Macaca mulatta: one gene and its partner. The protein of the gene in region 1 interacts with the protein of each later gene in a biochemical or structural test. Links are inferred from orthologs where the notes say so. Each region holds a gene or a part of one and is shown on either strand. Other genes may lie near its edges. The genes, in order: PRKCA and MGMT.

The links.
Region 2: of the proteins of PRKCA (region 1) and MGMT, one has a biochemical effect on the other in vitro, tested with the Homo sapiens proteins (2 studies listed by BioGRID). The link is inferred for Macaca mulatta from reciprocal best matches to the Homo sapiens genes PRKCA and MGMT.

The regions. Positions count from the first base shown.
Region 1 is NC_133421.1:76,435,340-76,444,604, reverse strand, and holds part of PRKCA (protein kinase C alpha type), read right to left. Parts: intron 4,943-9,265; coding exon 4,786-4,942; intron 3,747-4,785; coding exon 3,612-3,746; intron 3,101-3,611; coding exon 3,004-3,100; intron 1-3,003. UniProt on the Homo sapiens protein: Calcium-activated, phospholipid- and diacylglycerol (DAG)-dependent serine/threonine-protein kinase that is involved in positive and negative regulation of cell proliferation, apoptosis, differentiation, migration and adhesion, tumorigenesis, cardiac hypertrophy, angiogenesis, platelet function and inflammation, by directly phosphorylating targets such as RAF1, BCL2, CSPG4, TNNT2/CTNT, or activating signaling cascade involving MAPK1/3 (ERK1/2) and RAP1GAP.
Region 2 is NC_133414.1:141,516,044-141,525,789, reverse strand, and holds the start of MGMT (methylated-DNA--protein-cysteine methyltransferase), read right to left. Parts: upstream 6,051-9,746; 5' UTR 6,042-6,050; coding exon of another isoform or gene 5,961-6,041; intron 5,698-5,960; exon of another isoform or gene 5,611-5,697; intron 1-5,610. UniProt on the Homo sapiens protein: Involved in the cellular defense against the biological effects of O6-methylguanine (O6-MeG) and O4-methylthymine (O4-MeT) in DNA. Repairs the methylated nucleobase in DNA by stoichiometrically transferring the methyl group to a cysteine residue in the enzyme.

The DNA of each region.
Region 1 (9,265 bases):
GGGCCTCTGACCAGCCTCCCAAGAGAAATGCTTCGCGTTTGCTCAGGGCCTCTGGCCTGTATTTTGTTTTTGTTTGTTTGGAACTCTGACCTTTATAAAAAGCTGAACTCACTGCCCAGAAAAACAGGAGGTTTACTCACCAGGAAGCCACGACAATGAAGCACAAAGAGTGGGTCAATATTTCTCCAGCAGCAAAGCTAAGTCTCAGACATTACTGTGAGGAACCCCATGGGGAACGCCCGTGCTGTTCCTCCCTCGAATGCATTCTTTCTGCGCCAGCAGCCCCTGACCCAGTGACTGTTCGTGATCAACACCACGGCATAACGTTCAGTAAGGAAGGTTCTTTCTGGCTCCTCAGGTTCCTCCCCTGCCTGAGACAGCTGAGGAATGCTGGCACTCAGTCCTGAAACTCTCTCTAGAAGGATCCATCCGTCACAGAGGTGGTGTGACATCAGGGATGGGGCTCAAGAAGGTGGTCCTCTCTAGTACCCCGGGTCTGCATCTTCAGCTGCAGGGTAGGGGTGGAAACAGATAATGAAGCAAGGGAAGAAATACAAATTGAAAAAGAGCTATGCCTGGCATAGTCATTTGAACCTGCCCCAAAACCCTGACTTTCATCTTTGTACTTGAATTCCTCTAAATATCATAAGGCCTCTTTGAAAAGAATCTCATTCTTTTCTATCGATAGACAAATAGTAGATACACAGATACACACACATATTTATATTTATACATATTCTAATATATACAACTATACAAATAATTTTTTAAAATTATTTTTTCTCTCCTCTATTTTTGAAGAGCAGAGACTGCCAGCTGGTTCTGACTGGTTGGATCCTACTGGTGTCTAAAGCAATAGATGCACATTTGACCTACACAGAGTTCTAAGATTTTGTTTGTTTTCTTGAGTCAGGGTCTCACTCTGTTGCCCAGGCTGGAGTACAGTGGTGTGATCTTGGCTCACTGCAACTTCTGCCTCCCGAGTTCGAGTGATTCTCGTGCCTCAGCCACCGAGTAGTTGGGATTACGGGCGCATGCCACCACACCCTGCTAGTGTTTGCATTTTTCGTAGAGGCTGGGTTTCGCCACGTTGCCCAGGCTGGTTTCAAACTTGTGAGCTTAAGCAACCTGCCTGCCTTGGCCTCCCAAAGTGCTGGGACTATAGGTGTGAGCTACCATATCTGGACAGTTCTAAAATTTTTTTTTTTTTTTTTTTTTTTTTTGAGACAGAGTCTTGCTCTGTTGCCCAGGCTGGAGTGCAGTGGCATGAACTCGGCTCACTGCAACTTCCGCCTCCCAGGTTTAAGCAATTCTCATGCCTCAGCCTCTGGAGTAGCTGGGAGTACAAGCGCGTGCCACCAAACCCAGCTAATTTTTGTATTTTTAGTAGAGATAGGGTTTCGACATGTTGGCCAGTCTTGAACTCCTGACCTCAAGTGATCTGCCTGCCTCAACCTCCCAAAGTACTGGGATTACAGGAGTGAGACACCGCACCTGGCCTGGTTCTAAGTTTTAACATTAGAACTCTGCCAACATTAAGATAAATCAGAATGTATCACATAAAAACCTGGATTTCTGTCTTCTCTTGAAGAAGGAAGATCTGGCAACACAGGCCTGGACTCGTGTGTGAGAAACATCAAGTCGGGCAGGGTAGCAGTAGCTGCCACCTGCAGACAGGGCTCAAGCTTACCAGCTTACCCCAGTCTCCACCACTCCCTACTGCCTCAATCCTGAGGCCTGCTATTCACTGCCATTTATCACCTGTGAATCATTTCACTCGTTCGTGCTCCCAAGGACATCTAACCAGAGCCCCTGCCATTTAGTATTTGCCACCAACATAGACTTTAACCAAACATCAGTTTAACAAAGTAATTTGAACAACTGCATGTTTTACATCCTTTGGGATTCATTCTCTCTGGATAAGACCTATATGTTTCTTTTGCAGGGTGCATGAAGGAGGTTTATTATCCTCCCAAGACCACTCTTCCCTACCCCCCAGATCTGTCTGTTTCTTAGAGAACAACAGAAGAAGGAAAACAGGAGCAATAGCATCCCTTTAGTGTCAACATTTCAGTAACAGTTCAGCACCTATACACATGTGTGCGTGTGCACGTGTATTGCTCTAGAGTGGGGAAATTCTGGGGAATTCTAATGAGTCTGAAGAAGAGAAAGATTCACAAAGGAATTAACCTGTTACACAGACTGAAAAGGCTACTCTACGAGTCCCTCGAACAGCCAAAATGAAGCGTGATGAGAGAAGCAGAAAAATATTAGAAGTTGTGACTTTAAAACATAAGGAAGGTGCTTAGAGAAAAGAACTGTTTACTAAAAGCGGAGATGTCTGGTAAAGGAAGAGGAGAAGGGAGAGAGAGGAGAAGAAAAAGAGAAGTAAGCAGCAGAGGAGGAGAAGAAAAAAGACCAGGGAATCCGGGACAGAGGCAAACACAAATGCCAAGAGGAAGAAGAGAGGGAGGTGGCCTTTGCTGAACACTTGGAATATAGATAAAAAAGGATCACACACAAAGGCATATTTGTTTAAGCTGGTCTTTCAGAACAAAATTAGGAACCTTGTACTTTCTGCAGGGGGAAAAAAAAAGTCTCAGATGATAGCCTGATTACACACAAATGAGCTCCCAAGGAAAGGCCAAAATGACTTCCTCCTTTTTAGAAGAGCACAAGTCCTCCCTTGTAAGAACAATCCTGCCCCTCAGAGGCTGCTTCTCTCCCCAGTGATGTGCAAATCGATCTCTTATGCAAAAATCAACCATGCTTTCATTTCTGGGATATTTCCAGTTTCCATTTTCTAAGTGATAAGAGTCATAAAAAGTCAACAGCTTGCCAAGGAAAGGGAGTGAACAACATTTATGTTTTTAAATAAAGAAAAAGATCATTAACATTTAGATTACTTTTTTGCCTTTCGAAAATGTGACCACACTATCTCGGCTGTTCCTGAAGTCAGGCTTTCTATAGGAAAGGTGTTTCCAGGCATTTTGTTATCCTCACCTCGAATTTCTGCCTGAGTTCCATGTTTCCTTCTTCGTCCCCTTCTGGAATGGGTACATTGTAGTACTCACCTTCTTCTTGGTTAAGCAACTTGTACCTTTCAAAGACAGGAGAAAGAGAGTTACCACCGCAAGTTTAGCAAGCCTTCTCCTGAACCTCTAGTCAAGCTGTTTTGTGAAACGCATCCTATGGAGAGGCTACAGGTAGAGAAGTAGACATTTGACTTTTTTAAATTTTTATATTTTTGAGACAGGGTAGCTCTGTTGCCCAGGCTGGAGGGCAGTGGTGAATCACGGCTCACGGCAGCCTCAACCTCCTGGGCTCAAGCGATCCTCAAGCCTCAGCCTCCTGAGTAGCTGGGACTACAGGTTATACCACCACGCCCGGCTAATTTTTGTATTTTTTGTAGAGATGGGGTTTCTCCATATTGCCCAGGCTGGTCTCAAACTTCAGGGCTCAAGCAATCCACCTGCCTTGGCCTCTTGAAGTGCTGGGATTATAGGCATGAGGCACCATGTCCGGTCTCAACTGACATTTTAGAGACTGAAACCTAACTGTCTAAATGGTCTGATGCTTTGAGACATATTCAACCTCAGCAGCTTCCATACCATCCACTGGCTGGCATCTTCATTAGTTCCGAAACCCCAAAGGAAAGGGATCCCATGAAGTCATTCCTTGTTGTTCGATCCCAGTCCCAGATTTCTACAGACAGTCGTCGGTCTTTGTCTGAAGGTTTCAGTTTGCTACAAGACACACACACATGCAAACACTAGGTTATTTTGATCATGGTTTCTTGGGAGATACCACCTGTACATGATTTGAGCCTGAGATACAGAAATAGTATATTTGATTCTCTTCCTGGTCCAGTAAAATACCAACCCCTTATGCTGGCAACCAAAGCGCTACAGGAGGAGTTAACAAACTATGACCCATGGGCCAAATCTAGCCCACCGTCTATTTTTATAAATAAAGTTTTATTAGAACCCAGCCATGGTTATTTGTTTACATATTGCCTATGGCTGCTTTGGCACTAGAAAGTTGTACAGGTGCAACAGAGGCTATATGACCCACAAGGCCTAAAATATATACTATCTGATCCTTTACAGAGCAGAGCTTGCTGGTCCCTCTAGAATAGATAGCTACCTTTCTGGTTGTCCACAGAAAAGCTGCTTCCTGTATACTGGTCTACAAAGGGGACCTCCTGCTTTTGCTCAGCTGCACTCAGTCTTCCTGACTTATTTATTCCCTCCTTCCTTCTTCCCCTTCTACCATCTCTACCTCTGAAATCCTAGCAACCCTCCCAGGCTGGCTTTAAGTGTCACCTTTCTTTTCCAGGAGGTCTTCTCTCTTTGAAGGCAAGAATGATCTTGCCGTTTCAGTGGCAATAACACTTCCTATATTACTCACTCATTCTGTGGTCTAAAAATTATTTAAATTCTTGTCTTATGCCCTCCCCTAACTCTCAAAAGAACCTAAGTCTATCGAGAGGTGGACACACCGGATACATTTTTACATCATCTTTAATACCTTACACAGAATTGTTTAACCAGGTTAGATAATGATAATAATTTGAGGCCGGAATTATGCAACTCTTGGTAAATCAAATTACTATCTATCAAACAGGTGCTAATAGCTACCTCCCTAATGGCAGCCTGAGGAGGTCTTAGGACTGAAGACACGTTTAAAGACGTTTATAATGAACCTACTTCATTACCTCAAACAATGAGGTGGGCAACTGCATGGTGTATAGGAACGAGATTTGATCAAGGAGAGACCACTTACAATGTAAAGGACTCATTCCACTGGGGATTTAGTGTGGAGCGGATGGTTTTGGTTTTTTGTTTGCTTTCATTCTTGGGATCAGGAATAAGTTTCAGCTTCACATAAGGATCTGAAAGCCCGTTTGGATCCATAGGGATTAGATTTTTTGCATCTCGTACTGTGAAGAGAGAAGGAAGAAAACATTACAAAAAGAGAATGGACCTATATTGCCCAGTGTCCTGTGCCAATACCAAGCTGAGTAAAAGAGAAGTCAGGATGGCATTTAAGGAGAGAGATGGTGGGAAGCCAAACGCCTCTAACGCTCGTCATGAGAAAAGCTACCCACTGCCACCACCGGCAGAGATAACAGGCATCGTGTGGGCCCTTGTGGGCGGGTCTTGGGACTCAGCACCAGCCTGGACTGGCAGCATCAGCAACACTCAGATATCTATTAGAAATGCAGAGATCCAGGTCCCACTCCAAACCTGCCGAAGCAGAATCCATTATTTAACAAGATTCCCAGGTGACCTCTGCAGCACCCCAGGAGTAATGGCGCACCCTCCCAACATGGAGGCAACCAGCCCGACCTGGTCCATGGTGCCGCACATGCACCTGACCTCCCAGAAGGTGTTATCCCTTTTTGTGGGTAAAGGCCAATGGCTTCCAACTCTGACTGTACATTGGAATCACAAGGGAGTTGGGGAATGGGGGAGTTAAAAATTCTAATCCCCAGAATTAAACTAGAATCTCCAAGGAATGTGGCTCAAATATTTGTTTTTAAAAGCTCCTTGGGTGATTCTACTGGGCAGCAGGGGCAAGCACCATTGCTGTATACAGCTGTAACTCAGAATTGCTGCCCGGTGCTGATCCATGGACCAGCGACATCTACATCACCTGGGAGCTCATTAGACATGTAGAACCTTGGGTCCCACCTCAGACTTAATAACTCAGAATCCTCACTTTAACAAGACCTCCAGGCACTTCCAATGCAATCCTAGCTTGAGAAACCTGATATGGGAATCAAAAATAATTAGAAGGAAACGCCATTTCGTCCACAGAAGAAAGCAGGCTCGGAGATTTAAGAGCTGGCAGAGGCTCACAACCGTGAGAAGCTGTCTAACGCCACTGCACATCAACGTAAAAGGTAATTATCTACTGCTATGATGAAGGGACAAAGGCCTGAGCCTCCTACCCCAAATGCCTTCCTCATTATCTTCCCATGGCATCTTTCCCAGTGAGGCTGAATTACCAGATATGCAACTGGTCAGACACCATCAACACACGTATAACTGGGACCAGGCTCCCTGGTCCAGTGGTTCCCACAGTGTGGTCCCTGGACCGGCGGCACTGGCATCATCTCCTGAATCAGAACTCTGGGGTGGGGTCCAGTGGTCTGTGTTTATCAAGCCTCCGGGTGATTCTGATGTCCATAAATGTTGCAGAACCACAGATCTAGGCAATTAGCATAGTTTATCGGCATAGTTTAATTATTAAGAATTACAAAAGAACTTTAGAAGAAGGCACTGGAGTTGTCAGTGGGCACGGTTAGATGGGGAGGGGGCGGGGGGAGAATCCTAAAGATGTTGGGTCTTTGGACACAAATGAGGGAGGTACAGCCCTAAGATCAGAAGTCAGACAGGCATTGCCTTTACTAGTCTGTGGACCTACTGTGTGCCGCCTCCTGCCAGCCAACAGCCTTACATCCTCCTTACCTGGCAGCCTTACACAGGTGGGCAACAGATGGGACTACATTCAAATACAGAGGGGGAGGGGGCTGGCTCAGGCCTGCTAGCCACAGAGAAGCTGAATATATGTTTCTCGTACCCCATTTGTGCCTTCCAAGTATTTCTTCTCCTAAGAAAATATCTAACCTCATTCATCTCGGGGAGCAGATAGCACATAAATGAAACACACAGGCATGGTCCCTGTGGCTCAGCAGGTGTACGTGCGAACTCTGCCTCCTTCACCATGTAACCCTGAGCACTGGGAAGCTTTGTCTCTGAGCCTATGTTTCTTCATCTAGAAAAATGAAGAGGGGCATAATTCCAGTAGTATAGAATTGTTGAGAGACTCGAGTAAAAGAATGCTTATAAAACACCTTACATGGTTAGGGGCTTGGAAAATGAAAAAAAAAAAAAAAAAATCCATGATGTGAGTGCTCACTACACCCCAGGCATGATGGACTCGTTTCCACTCTTATCATGCTGAAATCTACAGGGCTGAAGGCCCCCAGGGGACTTGGTCACTGGATAATTCATCAAGCTCATGTGAAAGGTTTTAATCCAATGCAGAAGGTCTAGCCCACTAAAACATCAACCCTGAGTATCACCAAAGATTGAGCACAAAAATGGAGCTCTCCCATGAGGAATGGAAAGAGGCCAGCGTGCTCTCTCTGATTAAACACCAGAATGAGAATCAGATGCTTTTTAAAAGGCAGAAAATGCCCTGGAATGTCTAACAATGGAGGCTGCAGAAGGTCACATCCTGGACAAGCCAAAGAAGACCTTTATCAAGGCCACCAAGAGGTCCTGCGTTGCCTCCTGCCAGTTGCAGAATTATTGCGGGTGCTGGCTTTTATATCTTCAATTTATATTCCTGACAGACAACACACACAAAAAATCATTTAAGTAGGATCTCTTCTGAATGGTGATGAGTTAAAATCTTGATGGGATTTAAAGCTGTGAGCTTCCTACTGAGATACTATCATTTAAGTTGCAAATAAAATAAGTTGAAAATAAAAAGAGTTATCAATTCCAAATGTCATTGAAGCAGATAGTGGGTCCAAATTTCAATTTCTTATCACAGCAGAGAACAGCCTGTATGATGTGTGACTCATGGCATGCCAGGACACCTGAATCAGGATTATGAGCAACTAACTTGGGGTCCCATCTCAGAGTGTAGGATCTGGGGCAAGGCTGCCTGCGTTTGCATTCTGGCTCTGCCACTCTGTGGCTGTGGACAAGCTATTTTATGTCCCTAAGTTTCCTCATCTGGAAAATTATATCTCCTTCAAGTCAGGATTATGTAGGCTCATACATGTAAAGTGCTTAGAGCAGTGATAGGCACACGGTGAGAGCATAATAGCAATGATCATAATTGCTCTTCATACAAGTTACTGGTGGAGAACAAAATTGACAAGCCTTAGATGCGCAGAAACTGCACTGACAGCTTACGGAGTGGCAAGCAAATGTCAGGGAAAACAGTACAGTGTGGCAATGTTCTAACAGGGTTGCAACTGTATGGTTTCAAGAACGTCAGTCTAAGAGACAATGCTAGGGGGCATTACTCATAGGAGTAGTTGTAAGGAAGCTGGAAGAGGGGAAGCTAGGAAAGAGAACATAAGAGGAAAATTGAAGTGGGGAAGCAGATGAGAATAAGGGCTAGAGACAGAAGAGAGAAACAAGGGAAAGACGCGATCGAGAAGTGGCGTCAAATCCCAACACTTTGGGAGGCTGAGGTGGGTGGATCACATGCTGTTGGGAGTTTGAGACCCGTCTGGCCAACATGGTGAAACCCCGTTTCTACTAAAAATACAAAAAGGAGCCGGGTGTGCTGGTGGGCACCTGTAATCCCAGATAGGAGATTGAGGCACGAGAATTGCTTGAACCCGGGAGGCGGAGGCTGCAGTGGGCCGAGATTGTGCCACTGCACTCCAGCCTGGGCGACACAGTGAGACTCTATCCCCCCACCTGCCAAAAAAAGATGTGGAGTCAGAGGGCAGCCCAGGCTAGGTGGGCAGATGTTCTCAACCTCAGCTATACCCTGGAAACACCTGGGATGTTTTAGTCAAACCCTGATCCCTGGGCCGCGCCCTCAGAGAGTCAGATCTACTTGGTCCGGGTTGAGGCCCAGGCATCAGGATGGTGAAGCTCCCCAGAGAAGCCTCAGGTGCAGCCAGCACTCTTCACTGCACTCAGCACTCGCCCTCCGAGTGTGCTCCCTGGCCTAACACACCGACATCATTTGAAGACTTCGACTATTATTCACATTTTTCTTTCAATTGGCTCCCTTTTTAATAGCCACCATTTAAAAAGGAAATGTATCACTACAGGAAACAGAAAACCAAGATTGTTTGCCATAAATGGAAGGTAACCAGAAAAGTAAACACAACGAAAATCGATGTTACTCATTTCTAGCTGGATCCAGTTGCCTGAGATCTTCAGTCTCTTAGCTACAAAGGGGAAATTAACAAGTGCTAGAGTTTTAAGGATATTCCAGCCCCAGAAATCTTTGCTGCTTCAACTGAGATGGACAGAAAATTGGGAATAACTAACTCATCATGTAATTTAAGGTTTTTTTAACATCCGTATAGTACCTTCAGAAATCACCTTAAGTGCAACCAGAAGTCACACCCATCAGTGGCCCCATCCCACACTTGGGAAGCACAGTTGGAGGGAATGCCAATTCCGTGGTTATTAAGGAAGTGGAATATTCCACAGCCTAACAGCAGTACTGGGTCCAAGAAGAACAGACCCGGCACCTGTCCCACGGCTCATTTCTT
Region 2 (9,746 bases), on another chromosome or scaffold:
TCTAAACGGCCGTCACACATGGGAAAACACTGTCACATGCTGGTGTCACTGCTGGTTCCTGGCCACTGCCATCGTGTCGGATCCTGTGTTGGTCCTTTGGGAAGTTCTTTCAATTTAACAGACGAATAATGTCAAGGTTCCCACACAGTGTCTCGGGCTGTCAGCAACTGCCAAGTGCCCCTAGGAGCACACACGAAGCCCACCTGCCCACTCTAGGCTGACATGGCACACCTGAACCTTCAGAACGCTGCCACCTTGATAATGTCTACTGTGAAAAGACAGAAACAGGTGGCAGAGCCAGTAGCCTCTTTACAGATAAAAGGATTTCAGAGACCTAGCAAATGAATAGGGAACTACCTTATCCTGCACACAGACATGCTCTGCGACCTGGAACCTCAGACACACCGAGGTGGCAAATGTGGCCAAGTGACCCCCGACCTCCAGTCCTGCCTCCACCAAAACCAGAGCCACTCTGTATCCACAAACACCAGCCGCCTTCATTCAGGCCTCCGCAGGGCCAGGCCTCCTTCTGATGGGAACTGTCCCTGGCCCTACTTTTGGAGAAACCTGGCCTCGGAAGGTTAAGTAACTCTGCTCAAGGGCACAGGATTATAACTCGTGAAGCCAGGTCCAAATGGAAGCCAGTCTGTTCCCAGAAGGTGCGCTCCTGACTGCCATGCACACGCCCCCGGTGAGGGCTTGGGTGCGTGCAGATCTGCAAAATAAAGATTCGGACTGGACTCGGGGAAAACAAGGGCTCGAAATGGTTCTTCACCGTCTTCTCGTTTCATCCTTCCATGAGACTCAGCTCCAAATTAAAATTTCTACCTATGTAGTGGGTAAAATTTTACTTAAAAAAAAATAAGGATTTATTGTCTCGTGTGCTTATACTACCCAGGTAGACAGAATAAGCATGATCGTCCCCACCCAATAGATGAGGAGGTGCCTGGAGGGCTAAGAGTTTCCCAGGGTGACCCAGCTAGGAAAGAGCATCACTCCCACACACGGTTCTGGCACTTTCTGTAGAAAAGCTCAATTCTGTTCCACAAAATGTATTCAGCTGTGCCTCTGAAAGTTAACCCTCACCTGAGACCAGGAAAATGCTTTGACCCAGCAGGGGATAAAAACAAGACAACCCTCTCAAAAGGAAAGGGGGGGTGAAATATGATATGGCTGTCCATTCTTCACATTTGTTTGTAAAACTAACGCTAAAACTAACGCTAAAGTTTTGGTAACATCTGCACCTGGTCATAACCACAAAACTGAAAATTCGAATGCTATGATAACATGTTGGGTTTGCAATCTGAAGAGATTCACATCTCTCAGGAGTTACAAAACCTTACTCTGACCCATATGCACAGACAACCTGCAGCAATGCCAACTGCCAATGGATCCTTCTGGAACGGGGACTTGGAGCTTGCCTGGGCTGGACAGTGCTACTTCCCAGAGGATCCTAAGGACTTCCCTAGAGGTGCTCAAGCATTAGGGTCTGCCAGAATCCCCTGGCATCCCTAGGTTCTGATCCTGTAGGTCTGCCATGGGGCCCTGTAATCGAGAGACCTCTCTAGCCAGCACCCACAGTAATTCTGATGCAGAGGGCCCAGGCCACCCTCAGAGAAACACTCTGCCGCTGTTGCTTGTGAAGACCCCACTTTACGGAGAGCAACAGGTTCGAGGGGCTGTGACTCGTCAGGCCTTGCCGGAATCGCATTCCGGTGGTGGCTCTTACCCCACACAAGCAGGAGAGACGCCTGAACATGACATCCCTGGCTGCCCACCCGAGTCCTCTTGGTTGGAGAGTAAAATGTAGCTAAAAGTTTAAAAACAAATGATAAATAACTAGCAATTATTACATTTCAACATACAATGCCCCATCTCCTTCTCTGCCCTGAGATTCATTCACTCTCTTTACCCACCTAAATATCTCTGAACATCCTGTGCCAGAATTGCCTGATCTGTCAATAGGGTAAAAGTTTTCTAAACCTCTATGCATATGACTCAATTTGTCGGTAAAAACTGCCACCCGCGCTGTGCTTGCAGAAAATTGTCCATAAACACATCACTGTGACTGGCAGAACGATGCCTATAATAAAAACAAATAGATTTAACAAGTGCCTGCTTTTACACGCCACGCCGCTGGTGGACTATCCATTCGGTGTCCCCCAGCTCAGGCTTCTGGGAATGGGCGACAGGGCTGGGTGGGAGACTTTGCCCACTTCACAAGCATCACGGGTAGAGAATTACTCTACCAAGAAACTTTTAGGAGCAGGAGAGTGAACACACCAGCCATTTATCGCGCTCTCACCATTCCTTTCGTGGTTACGCACACTATAACCAATTTAACAACCATAAGAAAATGTTTTTGTAGAATTTTTTACTGGTTTTAGAACAGCTACCTCCGGTGGGGGGTGAAGGGGACATGAGGCCTCCTTGGAGAACCCGGCTCTGCTGTTAAGCCACTGATTCAACTGAAAACAACTTGTGGGGTCAAAACCAAGTTTCATCCTTCCGTGCATCTGCATGGGCAGTCCCCAGGGCGGCCTATTCAGTTATTTAGCTGGAGGAGCTTCGGGCGTGCAGGCTGCCACCAACTGGCTTCGCTGCCGGGACCCAGCACCTTGGCAGGTCTCAGTGTTTGATCCCTTTACAGGTGAACCACACCAGCCAAAGCCACTCTAATACTTCAAAGATCAACAAAATCAAAAAAATGATTTCTTCCTTTTCGTAAATCACTTTAATAGCTCTATGAAGGAGGAAGTCATTCATTACATTCCATACTATATTCATTAATTAGTTTTCCCCAAACCACGCAGCCCTCCTATATAAGCTGTACTGTCAATTTTTTTAAGTCAAAAAAAAAAAACAGACTATTTCCACCAACCAGCAGACATGCAGCAGTTAATGAAAAGCCACAGAACATACATCTTGCAACATTTGGTCCACAACACAAGGTCTCCAACTTCTACTTAGCTCTGCCCAAGACAGGCCTGCAGAGCTAACAGCATAGGTTCACAAACTCCTCATGCCAACCAACGGCCCTCCTGGACAGCTCAAACCTCCTCCCTCCCAGATAAACCCTTTCACTTCAAACCAAGAGTGGGGCGTAGGGCTGGCTTGTACATCATGAGCGTCTATATAAAGACCATACCACCCCACGGTCAGGTTATGGTTTATGTGTCTCTGACTTTAAATCCTTCAGGTCTGGTTTAAATAATATCCTGCAGGGCCAGACACGGTGGCTCATGCCTGTAATCCCAGCACTTTGGGAGGTCTAGGAGGGAAGATCACTTGAGTCCAGGAGTTCGAGACCACCCTAGGCAATATAGGGAGACCCTGCCTCTAAAAAAAATATTAGCCAGGCATGGTGGCACACACCTGTAGTCCCCGCTACTCAGGAGGTCAAAGCAGGAGGTTCACTTGAGCCCAGGAGTTTGAGGCTGCAGTGAGCTATGCACTCCAGCCTGGGCGACAGAGCAAGCCCTTGTCTCTAAAAGTAATAAAATAATATTCTGTGGTAAGACCCGAGCCCAGAAAGTAGCTGGATCAAAAGCTACCTGTCCCAGGAAACAGAGAGTCAGGAAGGACTGTAGCAGCAGCCCAAGAGCCAAATGAGTACAGGGCCCTTCAGGGTCTGGGAGGTTCAATGTGTCCCCTGGAGGAACTAGAGTCCCAAAGGGAAGTCAAAAACCTCACGGCAAGTGGATCTGAACAAGGAACTTTATATTGGGGAAGGGGGTCAGAATGAAGCGCAAAAACAATCAAAGAATAATGCTAAAGGAAAAGATAATGCAGAAAATTCAGTTTTGCCTTCATTTTCTTTCTATCAAAAAGAATATACTATAAATTGAAAAGGGTATTAACACCAAAAAAAAAAAAAAAACCAACCGGAAGGTTTGAGTCACTGGCTCCTAAACGTATGTCCTCTGCAAAACAGGACAATTTAGTAAGTTTATTTTATTATAAAATACCAGAAGAGTCAGGGCTTTGGTGTCCTAAGAAAGGGTAGGAAGAAGACTGGAGAGGAACAAACTCTAAGGGGGCAATGGGGAAGGCAAGTTCTTTTTCAGGCCTTCCTGCCCCCTTCTTCCTGCAAAAGAAGAGAGGAGGCCCTGATTGAGACACCTGGGAAGGAAACCCAAACAATGAAAGGTAAGCCCCAGGTGATATCAACGTAAGACCTCAACAAGTTTCAAGAATCTGAGCAGCTGAACAAAGTGCTACCCAATGTTACCTAGGGCTCTATTTCTTTCAACCTTACTAACAGCAAAGCCTTTTTAAAGTAGTGCCTAATACTATTAGTTAAATCGTTATTGTGATACAGATTTTTTTTTCCTTTGGGACAGAGTTTCACTCTCGTTGCCCAGGCTGGAGTGCAATGGCGCAATCTCAGCTCACTGCAACCTCCACCTCCCAGGTTCAAGAAATTCTCCTGCCTCAGCCTCCCAAGTAGCTGGGATTACAGGCACGCACCACCACACCTGGATAATTTTTGGATTTTTAGTAGAAACGGGGTTTCACCATGTTGGTCAGGCTGGTCTCCAACTTCCGACCTCGGGTGATCCACCCACCACAGGCTCCCAAAGTGCTGGGATTACAGGCGTGAGCCACCGTGCCTGGCCCAGATATTTTTTATTATTATTAAAATATATACATTGAAAAGTACCTGAGTATAGCTCTGTACTGGAGGCCTACTTCATCCAGGCCCCTGACTGTGGCAGATACCACCCCACTATTCAAATTCTAACAGGAGAGGGAGGGCCCAGGAAGACAGATACGACAGGCGGCAGAGTAAGGCCAGCTCTCCTCTGCTACTTGCAGGCACGCTCTGGGTCCCAGCAAGTATCCTGGCCCTCTGAGTTAATGTGTTGTTAACAATCAGCCAGGCTCTTGACGCGGTTTCCTTCAAAGTTTTCACAGCCCCACCCACCAAGTGTGCTAAGCTTTCGTTTTTTTTAAATCTGTTCATCTCTCAGAGTGTTTTAGCCACTGAGTGGGCCCTGAAAATAACAAAACCATCTCCTAGTCACCTGCCCAGGGATGGGGCAGATGACGGGAGAGTCTGCCTTCACAGATACTCTATAGGTTTATATTTGGATGTCTATGTAAATAACCAGTCTAATTCTCAGCTCTCTGTGCTTAACTCTCTCTGCTTAATATTCTACTGAGAACAGCTGTGGTGACCCCTCTCCGGACCAAGCCGCTTCCCTCAGTCTGATGATGGTCCCAGCAGGCAAAGGTTGCACACACATGTACAAAGTCTGCTTTCCAGGATAGAAAGCCAGCTACCCAGCTGAGGCAACTGAGAGCAAACACCACCCTGAGATTTCAGGAGATGATGAACCCAGGAGTGCGAAATACATAGTTCAGAACTCCTCTGCGGTGTTGTCACCAATGTGGGAATTACGGCGCCCAGTGTGTGTGGCTCTCCAGCGAGCCTTGCTTACTCCCAGGTATTGATGAATACAATTAGGGTGTGAGGTACACAAACACCAGCCATGGTTAGGAGGAGGCCCCTAGAACTTGGCCTCCAGCAGGAAGGAAATATGGGACTCTGCCCAAGTATGCTAAAGGCTTGCTGCAAGCCAAGGCCCGCGCAGGGGCTTCTGGAAGCTTCCCGGAGCAGCTGGCGGAGGGAAAGCTGGCAGCATGGAGGGGCAGGAAGAACCCGGGGCCCGGGCCTGGAGCCGGCACCCGGAGGTAAGGCAGGGGCTGCCACGAACCCCGCCACACGCCAGGCCACAGTCACTGCAGCGCAGCTTGGTCCAGGAACCCTAGGCCCGGGGGAAGGCTGGGCAACACTTTGGAGGCACTTGGGGCGCACCTGGAGTTCGCCCGGGGTAGGTGGCTGTCAGGGCGGCCCCAGACCCGAGTGAGGGCGCCTGCAGGACCACTCGAGACTGCCGCCGTCCCGAGGCAGAGCCCCGCAACTCTGCCGGGAGCGAGGCGACCCAGACACTCACCAAGTCGCAAACGGTGCGGACCGCGAGGACCTGCGGGCGCCGGCACGCAAAGCGTTCTAGTGGCGCGGGCCGTCCCAGCATATCCGGGGCGCGGGGGCGGGGCCGAGGGGGCGCGGGGCTGGCGGCATGGGGCGGGATCTAGAGCGGGGCGGAGCCGAGGACCTGAGAAAAGCAAGAGAGCGCGCGGGGGCGGGGCCGGGGCGCGCGGGGGCGGGGCCGGGGCGGGGCGGGGTGTTCCCGCCCGACCGGGTCGGCGCATGTCCAGTGCGGCGGCGCCGGACCTGAGCCACTCTGCGCAGCCTCGCTGGTGCCGACCCGCGGGCCCGGGTCCTGCAGCAGAGCTAGCTACTCTGTGCGCCTGACACCCCGGCCCTTTGGCCGGTACAAACCAGGCAGCGTCTTCCCAGCTTCCGCCTCAGGTTCTGTGCCTTAGTTTGCCAAATAGCCCATACCTTTTCCTGTCACAGGGATAGTCCGCGGGCGTGCAAGCGACCTGCCACGTGCCCGAGTGGTCCTGAAGGCGCGCGGGGGTCGTAGGACGGCGCCCGCTTAGTGAGAATCCCAGTCCTGCTCGGGGCGGCTACACTGAGCCCGGAGCGCGAGTCTTTCCCCTCCTGAGGCCGCTTCCCGGGTCAGGGACCCTCAGACCAGCAGAGACCCTGTCAGGGGGCCGTGGGGCAGCCTCCAGGGCCTGTGGTGGGCGGTCCCGTCCAGGCGCTGTAGTCACCGATGGCCTAGACACGGCCAGGGCCTGACTCAGTCGCTCTGCAGAAAGCGCACAGGGTGCCAGGCCCTGCTTGGGGTTGTGTGGACATTATTAGGAGCTGAATTGTGTCCACCAGAAAAGCTATGTTGGAGTCCTAACTCCCAGTACCTCACAGTGTGACCATACTTGGATATGGGGACTTTACAGAGGTAACAAGTTAAAATGAAGCCATCAATTAGTGGGCCCCTCATCCAGTAGGACTCGTGTCCTTATAGGCAGAAGGCCGCGTGGGGAGGAGGAGTGGAGGGCTGCACCTGCAAGCCGCCAGAAGCCAAAGAGGACAGACTCTTCCCTGGAGCCTTCGGAGGGAGCAGGGTCCTAACACACCTTGGATTCAAACTTCCGGAAGTGTGAGACAATAGGTTTCTGTTGTTTAAAGCCACTCAGTGTGTGGCACTTTATTATGGCAGCCCCAGGCAATGGGTACGGAAACCATTGTCTCTAACATGGTTGGCATAACCACCCCAGGGAGTAGTATCATCCCTGGAGGCTTCGGAGAGGTCACACACCCCTTGGCAGTTTCAAGGATCCCATCCGATGCCCACATGCTCTAAGGCACCATGCTATGGGCCTTCTAGGTTCTGTTATCTTGATGGAAAGGGGTCTTCGCCTTCCCAGTGTAGCTTCCCAGCTGGGATTTGGCCAATGCTCATACCTTCGTATTTGTGACTTGCAGGATCCAACATGTTAGCATGAGTGATAAGGGTTGTTCAGAGGAGAACTTCAGCAGGATTTGCTTTGGGATGAGCCCCGGTGACAATACAGGCTGCATCATTGATCCTCTGAGGTTCCTCACCCTGGACCGTGCCTTGGATGAGACATGTTTTAAATGGCTGCTTGTGGAAAATAAACTAGGCCCTGAGTACACAGTATAATGGTCAAATCAGGGCACTTTTTCCCCACTGAGCCTGGACACAGCCTCGGAATCCTTCTTAATACTGTGTTCCAAGCAGCTATTCACATTTCAACTAATGTGGAAGGAGAGATGAAACATGTTTGGCCTTGGCTCTGGTTTTTTCTATCAGCCTTCTGTAAGACTTTGGGAAACTCATCTGACTTCTCTAATCCTCAGTTTCATACTCTGTAAAGGAGTCTTATGATCATGTACCGTGCATGTATACAAACTATCCTTCCATATTAGGCCATGTGTGCATAGGGAAAATAAACCACCAGCACCACACCATACTACTGAGAAATGATGCTATACACCGGGCCGCTTACAGCCTGTTACTACCAGGACCCAGTTAGAACCAGGATCCCAATAGAACCGAAGGAAAAACAATGCCGAAATGGAATCAGAGTGCCGACCAGTATTCTAACAAGTGTGCTGTTAAGTAGTTTTGCAGTTAACACAGGACTCATACGTTTATCTGAATAATATTTTCAGACGAATACCTAAACTCTTAAGAAAAAGAGACTGGCCCGTCTTAGTATCTCTCATTCCCCACCCTAGGAAAGAAAGGCCAATGTGGTCATCCAAAGGCCCTTTAGGAGGGCCCTGTGGGAATGGGGAGGTGGTCCACGAGAGAAAGTGCTGGCTTCCTGGGGAGACGTGTGGACCTGGCCCTGGCTCCACTGACAGGACTCAGTCCCGTTGCTGGTGTGGTAGGAAGGACTATATGAAGGGCCACAGCTACTTCAGTGGTAAGGACTGTGTCAGGGCTCCAAGATCAGGAGCCGAATGTGGGTCTCAGCGCAGAGGGGCAAGAGGGAAAAGGCCACCACCTGACCAATGACTGGCCTGCAAAAGACCAGGATTCAAGGATGTGACCGCTTACGCTGTCCGATGAGCAGAACTCAAACCCACACTCCCTACACTTGCTGGTGCAAGCTCCTCCCTTCATCATGGTAATTTCAAAAACCGTTTTCATCAAGAGCTCCCCCACGCCTCTCCCCCTTGTCCCATTACAATCTCATCATCGCCTGCGTATTCATCCTACTGTTAAAGGAACACAGGATGGCTCCAAAGCGAGGAGGTCACCGGGTCCACTGAAGAGTAAGGAACACAGGACAGGGAGGCTCAGATGTGGTGCCAGCCGTACCCCTCACTGAGCAACCCCTGACTTCTCTGTTGATAGGATGACAGCGCAGGACTAGTTGGGTGAGATTCCTTTGAGGTCTCCCATCTTCGGATTAACAAATCACAACCCCTTTTTCTCCAGACACAGATTCCTATGAAGAACGTTTTACAAAAGAGGTGGGAAAACCGCAAAAGGGTATGCTCAACTCCATTCTGACTTCTTCAAGGAGCTCCCTGGATTTCCTTTAAGATCAGCCAGCTTTCTTGTGGGCACTGGGAACAATGTTAATTTGCATAGTTTCTTTAAACATCCAAATAGATACCTTTTGGGTTAAGCAAATGAACATGACATGCGATTGCTTCTAATGATTTGCAACCCAAGAAATTTGTTTAATAAGCCTGTCTTCCCAAGCTACTTTTGTGACATTAGAGACCATTTACAACAAAGCTGTCTTCAGTAGTCAACCTTAATCCTTACTACCCTACCTTTGGGAAATGAAAGGATTTTATAACGATCACATAAAACCTTATGTGGTTTGAAAGCCCCAAACTCCGGACAAATGTGTGATGGTCGTGTAACAAAAGAAACATATTACAGAGCTCCCCACTTTAAGTGTTTTACATATGGTTTGCTTTTAGGATAGCATCTCTGGTGGAGGGCTTTGCTGATTAACACAATTGATTTTCTTAGCCCCAGTGTTCCTGTAAACGTTGGAGCCAAGAGCTGGAGTCAGTGCCTTGGACCTGGGAGAGGCCAGGAGGCCAGGGAGCCTCAAGCACTCTGGAGGAAGAAGCCTGAAATGAAAAGGTGGAGGCCATCAGTAGCGGGGTTGGGTGCCAGGTGCTTCTGATTACACTCCTGTGTGACACTAGTTGTCAGCATGGCAGAAGCATTGTGGTGTAACTGCAGTAGGGAGTGTAATCCATGAGTAGGCAGGAGGAAGGGCGGGAAGGAGGGACTTCAGGCTTTGCCTCACACAGAGGGTAAGGGAATGGTGCA